Linked DNA regions of Tribolium castaneum. The protein of the gene in region 2 purifies or fractionates together with the protein of the main gene of each other region. This does not show direct contact. Links are inferred from orthologs where the notes say so. Each region holds a gene or a part of one and is shown on either strand. Other genes may lie near its edges. The genes, in order: g and E3 ubiquitin-protein ligase Godzilla.

The links.
Region 1: the proteins of E3 ubiquitin-protein ligase Godzilla (region 2) and g purify together in Homo sapiens (affinity purification with mass spectrometry; 3 studies listed by BioGRID and IntAct, counting the BioPlex papers as one, with this or other methods). This does not show direct contact. The link is inferred for Tribolium castaneum from reciprocal best matches to the Homo sapiens genes RNF13 and AP3D1.

Annotation. Positions count from the first base shown.
Region 1 is NC_087401.1:15,047,300-15,051,225, reverse strand, and holds the start of g (AP-3 complex subunit delta), read right to left. Parts: upstream 3,002-3,926; 5' UTR 2,958-3,001; coding exon 2,862-2,957; intron 2,816-2,861; coding exon 2,720-2,815; intron 2,677-2,719; coding exon 2,548-2,676; intron 2,501-2,547; coding exon 2,360-2,500; intron 2,312-2,359; coding exon 2,042-2,311; intron 563-2,041; coding exon 489-562; intron 442-488; coding exon 293-441; intron 180-292; coding exon 1-179. Other genes in the region: l(3)neo43 (cytochrome c oxidase assembly protein COX16 homolog, mitochondrial), read left to right, coding at 3,326-3,631. UniProt on the Homo sapiens protein: Part of the AP-3 complex, an adaptor-related complex which is not clathrin-associated. The complex is associated with the Golgi region as well as more peripheral structures.
Region 2 is NC_087398.1:4,233,369-4,237,294, reverse strand, and holds the start of E3 ubiquitin-protein ligase Godzilla, read left to right. Parts: upstream 1-1,263; 5' UTR 1,264-1,329; coding exon 1,330-1,404; intron 1,405-1,452; coding exon 1,453-1,522; intron 1,523-2,341; coding exon 2,342-2,944; intron 2,945-3,926. Other genes in the region: Uxs (UDP-glucuronic acid decarboxylase 1), read right to left, coding at 49-448, 499-719, 772-832. UniProt on the Homo sapiens protein: E3 ubiquitin-protein ligase that regulates cell proliferation. Involved in apoptosis regulation. Mediates ER stress-induced activation of JNK signaling pathway and apoptosis by promoting ERN1 activation and splicing of XBP1 mRNA.

The DNA.
Region 1 (3,926 bases), on a different chromosome or scaffold from region 2:
TTTGACGATTTCCATTAGATTTTTTTTCGAGACCATGCCGTATAGCAAGTCTAAGGCGCGGAGTCGGATGGACTCGTCTTTGTCCTCTAGACATTGCAATATTAGGTCTTTGTGGGCTTGGACGCTTTTTGGGTGCGTTTTGAGGATTTTTGACATCGCCAAAAGGCCCAAATATTTCACTGGAAGTCGGTTGTTAAGGCGCTGATTACGAATTAATGGAGCGAGTGACGTGATTATTGTTAAAATAATTTAAGAAAAAAAAAACACATGACTCGCCCCACGCTAAACTTACAATTCTGGTCGGAATCTTCAATCAAAATCCGCAGTTTTTGGACACAGAGTTGTATGCTAGCGGCGTGATTGGGCATTCCTGACGATATTGTTATCAAAACTGCTATAACCGTATTTATACACTCATATAAGAGACTCATTGCCGAAGTGCTACAATAATTAAAACAATTATGATAAAACAAAGGGCGCAACCCTACCTGTGTATGAGATTAGTCAAAGGCTCAATCAACTTTTGACCTAGCCTAGGTTCAAGAGGCGTTAAAGCACCGAACTAAAATAAAAAGCGTTGTTTTCTTTATCAAAGGACCTAATCCAGTTAATTTAAAAAAAATACGGAGAACTATATGCTAGGAGGCGAAACGAGATACAAAATAATTCGACTTTTTTTGTACCCAAAAATATATTAATTACTTTTATTATTTATTCATTACTACTGTCTAAAATTTTCAAGATAAATATGAGAAAAAGCATTTTCCAAATCTTTCAAATTCTTCTAATCTTAGACTACAATTTTTTTTAAAGAATATTTAATTCTCTACAACTTAGTTCCTTACCTTTTTTATATCTTCAACCTTATTTATAAGAGCGTATTAGAAATAGGGAGTAAAGGGGTAAAAGTACTATATCTTCTATATTTCAAAAAATAATTAGTAATCGAAGATAAGACTGGTCTGTAACGCAATTCTCCTTTAAATAAAATTAGTATAAAAAGATTTAAACGCACTACTTTCAGTTTTTTCCTATAATATAGACTTTTTTCAAATATTTTTTTCTTTTCTCAAAATTTTTTTTTTGTTTTTTATGTGTGTGCATATAAAATAAAAAAAAGATTGAAAACTACCAGGGAATCCTCAGAGAATTTTTTATTCCTATAAGGGGCTGAAAAATATAACATGTCTTTTCAATTTTTTTTATTCTCCCTTAGATTTTTGGTAAAAAATCTTAGCACAGTATCGATAGACATGAAAGGTTTCTTCAAGAAATATTACACATATAGATAAGTAACGATATTATAGGAAATAGTCAAAAGATCGTCAGATGCAATGATAGCATACTTTAAAATAGCATACGTTAAAACTTTAATGAAAAATATGAAAAAGAAAAAAAATAAAAAATGCTATAGTCAATTTTTTAAATGATTTATAGAGGTTTGGAACAAATTATACCATTAGTTATAAATTATTGTCCCAATTATTAACTTTACAGTTATAGTTTTAAGTAAAATCAACGATTTAAAAAAAGTTATTTTTTGAAGAGCAGTATAATAAGCTTTTACTACTATTAAATACTTTATTTTTTCTGTATACTTGTAATTTTTTTCAAAATTTGTCTATAATAGTTATTCTTTATAATCAAAAATAATTATTTAATACTGAGTCGCTGAATATATATTTTTTTTAATTATTTGTAATGAGTAATGAATTAGTTTGATATTCTTTTACTAAAGAACAGTTAGCTTTACGGCATAAAAATAACAATAAAAATACGTCAGTCAAATATTTTTCAGTTACATTTAGTTGCCATTCACTCAATTTAATTTATTTTATTTTATTAAAAAATTTAATTATTAATTTATAATCGCAAATTTAAAAAATTATTCCGATCAAGTCTGTGCTACACAATATATTTTTTAATATTGCGCCATCTGCCGTCGGTGATGGAACTCCCAAAAACGGGGACATTTTATTCGTACATCGTCCCGCATCCTAGTATTTAGTTGTCCGTAGTCAAAAAAATACGAACTACTTACCAGTTTGATTATTTTAATTAGCATCCAATTATTGGTGCTTGTGGTCATTAATTTGAAAAAAACTGGGGCCAGACTTAGATAATTTTTGGGGTTTTTTCGTGCCAGTTCACACACAACATTGACTGCAGCCGACTGAACCCCCGGATCGGGGTCCTCTAACTTTTCTTTTAGTTTAGGAAAGGCAGGACGTAGGGCTTCGGGATATTTGAGGAACACTTTATACATCATTAGAACGGCTTTTTTCCGAATGTAGGGTTTAGTGGAACTTAACTAAAAGCAACAATTAGTTGTGTTTGATTAAATGACTTGGGTAGTTACAAGAGTTAAAATATCGTTTGAAAGGTCTCTGGCCAAGTCAGTGCTGATGTAACAGCTGAGGGACGTCAAGGCCAGCCCCGATTCGTACTGATTTTGCGAGTTTAACTCCTTCCTAATCATATTAGTGGTCAACATGAGCAACTAAAATCCCAATTAATCAACGTTTTAATCGGACTTAATTACCCCACCTCTGAATCACAATGAAACGATTGACTAGCCGCGAGATAACCGATCCGTTTCAGCGTAAATTTACTCGAACTCATCACTTCGATTATGTTAAAGCCGGCCCACGAAATATCGTACCCCAGCATTTGCAACTAAAAACCACAATCAATCGAAATCATTTACCAAATCACTCACATAAGTCAATTTCGCGATTGCGTTACTCTTAACTGAGAGATTATCCTGTCGCAGCTCCTGCTTGATATCCTCCATGCATTGCGAGATGTACTTCGCCTACAATCAAGGGGGCAACTAACATAACCTCGTTTTTTGCACAAACCTCATTCTCCTTATTATTGCGGATCCCGCGGACCAAATCGGTCAAATTCTTGTCGAACATGCGTTCAATGTTCCCTTTAACCTTCTTTAAGGCCATTTTGCGTAAAAAACTGACTAAATCAAATCAGGGGGCGACACAGCCACCCGACCAGTTTGTTCGAATTGGGGCAATAGTTCCGCACAGAATCGCCCGAATTTCAGTTCTTTCATATCACAGGATGTTTTAAAGGGGCGCTCGAGCGTTCGCCCCAGTTTTTTACTTTTCGTAGCCACGTTGACAACTGACAAGTTAATGACAGATGACAGTGGCGGCTCGTCAAAATAACACACAATAAACGCGTTCCTAGCCCTTGACGAGTCGTATAATTGATCAAAACTGGTGATTTTATCCCTGGGGGAGGTTCACCGACCGGTTGTTACCCCCAAAACTGTTTTTTACCAAATGTGGTGACATAACCTCAAAAAATGTTGCATAACGTGGGGGCGAAAATAAACGAGTTTTTGAATAAACGTTCGGTGAAATATGGTTTGCCGTTTCTTCTTGTGGTTTTGGGGGGTTCGTTCGGGCTCCGTGAATTTGCACAGTTGAGGTATCAGTTTTCACGAGTCTCCAGTGTTAAGCCCGAAGAAATGAAGAAATTGGGGATTGAAATGAAGAAACCGGGCGAAGTCACGCTCGAGTCGGAGTACGAGAAGATCAAGAAGATTGATATCGATAATTGGGAGCAGGTCAGGGGGCCCCGGCCGTGGGAGGAGCAGACAACGCAATAACTTAACTATTAGTTTGTAAATAATAAAAAGCGATTGGATGTTCATATATTTTTATTCCCATGCACATATTCCATGTAACACTTTAATAAGACACCTTAGGATATTACAAATGACACACTTATTAAAAGTTTCGTCAAAATATTGCTTCACAAATTGCAATAAAGAGCTTTATTACCGACAACCTCCCTCGGGACGGTCTCTCAATCAATTCTAAAATGATAATATTGTCAAGTAATTGACACAATTCCCTAAAACTACATAATTGCTTATCAAGGGTCGTGGCGTTATTGTCAAT
Region 2 (3,926 bases):
CTACAAACTGCAAAAGTAACAAAGGGGAAAAACGACACCGTCGCCAACCTATGGGATTGACATGTCCCCAGTACGTCTCGGGCTGGGGGTGGATGTCGGGGTCTCCGTACACTTCCGAAGTGCTGGCGATTAGAATTTTGGCGTTCAGTCTTCTGGCAAGGCCTAGCATGTTAATTGTACCTAAAGTGTTAGTTTTGATGGTTTTGACCGGGTTGTACATGTAATGGGGGGGACTAGCGGGGCTTGCGAGATGGTAGATCTCGTCGACTTCAATAAATAAAGGATTGACTATGTCGTGGTGAATTAATTCGAAATTCTCGTGACCTATCCAGTGCTCGACGTTGCGCTTCCGCCCCGTGAAAAAATTATCAGCGACGATGACTTCATGACCTTGCAGCATTAATCTATCAACTAGGTGTGACCCCACGAAACCGGCACCGCCAGTTATCTACAAAACGTTTTTACTCTTCATTGACAGTCCCGGGGGGCACTTTGTACCAAAATACGTTTTCGCGAGAGGTAGTTTAGGAACTTAACTTCGGGGTACGTCTTGGGCACCCTTGCCTCAAGAGCTAGGATTTTATTTTCCAAGTCTTGAATTCGCTCGGACGCTTCTTGCAGAAGGTGCTTGTTGTACTCAAGCTCGTCCTGATACAGGTGCAAATTGTGCACATTTTCGGCCGACCTTTGCCGGCTGTATTTAATAAAAACCAACAACACTGCAACAACCCAACATAACCTATAAAACAAGCGACAATTTATTTCCCTTACAAATCGATAAGGACGCTAGTAGTACAAGCAAGTGTTTGATTTTCCAAGTAACCTGAATCATGTTACGCAACGATATCGCATTTTTTATCCATTAAAAACGCCTAATTGGGTTTAAAATTGACAATCACTGACGACACATCGTGTGATTGGCACGCCTGTGTGTCAGCTGTGCCACCAGAAATGTCAAAAAATCGTTTCTCAAAAGTGCTGCTGTTTATTTTTTGAAGTTTTTTCCCGATTACGGGCGCTAATCCGGTTAACAGTGATCGAATCGCCCCGAGGCCGATGCCCCCCGGCGCCCACCCCAAAGCCCCCGCATGTCGCTCGAGTAAAGTGCGTTAATTATTTTATTTACAAAGACGTAATTTGAAGGTTGACTGTTTGACATATTAATTAAGCATCCTACAATAACAATATCGGATTGCTCATTATCTCCGTAAATTCCCTCATTATTATGATAAAATCGAGCCAAGAGCCCGTTTAGGGGTGGCTGTTTTGACCAAATCAAACTTTACTTAGTGATAAATTATGTGATAGTTGGATTTTTATACAAATAACATGAAGAAACCGGAGTTAATCTGCCTGCTGTGCGTGCTCCAGTACACCTCGGCCGAAATCTACGCTATACGATTCGTAAGTCTTCCAAAAAAGCCAATAGTAACTCATCATTTCGCTTTTAAGGACTCGCAGTTCTACTTTGACGAATTCGAGGATGTCCCTGCCAGTTTTGGGAAGAAATTGTCAGATGGAGGTAAACACTATCAATCAGCACTAGGTCATAAGATTGCGTATCTTATCACAAGCGTAAATTAAACGCTGTAAACTTTAATGCGTGTTTACACAACCGTTCAATTTTTGGAAAAAACAAGCGGTTATGCAACACGTTATGCATTTCTATGGCCCATTACTTTATTTATTACCATTTGGACAATACGTAATGAATGCTTTGCAGCGGTTGAAAAATTCTATTAGTCACAGCTTTGATTATTTTTTGCCTTGTGGGAGTGTAAATCCACGGTGTCATCATGTCTATATTTAATTTTTTGCTCAATAATAGATAAATGTATCAAAATAATACAAAATTACTTGGTTTGTTTATTACATACGTTTATTATCTAACAACGCAACATAATCGTTGCACGAAATTTGAAAAAATTGCCGTCTAAAATAACGATAGAAAATTTCAGACACACAGAAAATTCGCTCCCAATTATTCATAGCAGTATTCAATAAAAAATACTTATAATAATTATCTACATTAATTTTAAAAGTTACAACGGTAACTACTTCACAAAGATAGAGCAGTGTTGGACAACCTGAGTCCTGAAAACAGCCCAGGTTCAAAATGCCCAAGGGCAGAAAATTTTTTTAGGGTTGTTATTTTATGACTAAGGCGAAAAGTAATTTTCGCTTAGTTCGGTTTGTTTCGTTCGAAAAACTCAGTTTGGCCGAATTCGGTTCATCTCCGATAGCGAGTAAATAACGTAATCGCAGCTTTGGGGTCACTTGATAGCTGCCCGAGTACCAATTTCGACTTTTTCACGCCAGTCTTTTGTTCGTTTGTGTTCAGTGGTTCGCGGCGTCTTGGTGAACGCCGACCCTCCTGACGGCTGCACCAGCGCCCTGAAGCCGCCCCCCAAAGACGTGGAGAACGAGACGGGGCGATGGATCGTGCTGATGCCGCGCTATAACGACGTTTTGAATTGTTCTTTCGAGCAAAAGGTCCGCATGGGTCAGGGGGCTGGTTACGACGCCGTCGTGGTCCACAATGTCCACTCGAACCAGCTGGTTCCAATGTCGGCGAAAAACGACACCGGAATTAACATTCCTTCAGTATTTGTGAGCGAATCTTCCGGCTCGACGCTGAAATCGATCTACGCCAATCCGCAATATTTCATCGTGATCACCGGGGAATCACCGTTTAATATTCAGACGCATCTCCTGATCCCGTTTGCGATTGTCGTGGGGATTTGTTTTATCGTAATGATTATCTTTCTGGTGGTGAAGTGTATTAAAGACAGGAGGAGGCAGAGGAGACATCGCTTGCCCACGTCCACGCTTAATAAAATTCCGATTTGTAAATACCAAAAGGGGGATCCGTACGAGACGTGCGCCATTTGTCTTGATGACTACATCGAGGGCGAGAAGCTCAGAGTTCTTCCATGCAATCACGGTAATTTTTTCTGACTTTGTATTAAAGTGTCTGTTGTTTGTCGTCTTTTACATTGACTTGACTTAACAGTAGCCAAATAAATTACTGTCAAAGTGTTACTTTTATCGTAATCATTGGCTGATATTGTTTTTTGGCGTTTAAAATTTTTCATACTCTCAACAGTAACGAAATGTGCGACAAAGACAAGTATTACCAAAATTATTATTCTGTTTTTAACGGTTTTTGTAATCTGTTTAATTCGAAAAATAGAATTGATTAGACGTTTAGAATTTGCGCCAGCGGAATAATTTTTCTAACAAAAAAAAATTAAAATTTGTCTAAATACATACTCCCTCTTCCAAGAAAAAGCTCAAGCAAAACTGAAAAATCACAGAATTCTGCACTTTATTATTAAAAAATAACTTTTGTTGTGTACTACTCATTTGTAAATTTCTTTCCGAATTTTTTCTACAATTTTTTATAATACTATAATTAGAAGTATGTACGAGTATTAATTAATTAATACTAATTCGCTGCACTCTAAAAAAATTTTTTGATTGATCCATTTTTTTTCGAGAATTTTGAATGAAAAAATTTGTTCGCAATCATAAAAACACTGACTGACGTAATTTCAAATTCACTGGTTAGAAATCTAGTCGATAAAACAAACGGTGTTTAAATGTTGTTTTTTGCAAACAAAACGTAAAATAATAATTAATTCATTAAAACTAATTTAAAATAATTATAATTTTTTACGAATGTCACGTATTTGTTGTACAAAATATTATTTAAGCATCACTTGTTTGAAAATAATAATAATAATAAAGGGCTTTTATTAAATAAAATTAACAATAATAAAAAAATGAGAAGGAAAGTCTAACTTGAAGCTTGAAGATGGAAAATTAATAGAAAATATGTTAGTAATAAAATTAAAATAATAATGAAAAATTTATGACAAATAAAAATAAATTACGTAAAAATAAAATATTACGTAAGAACTAAA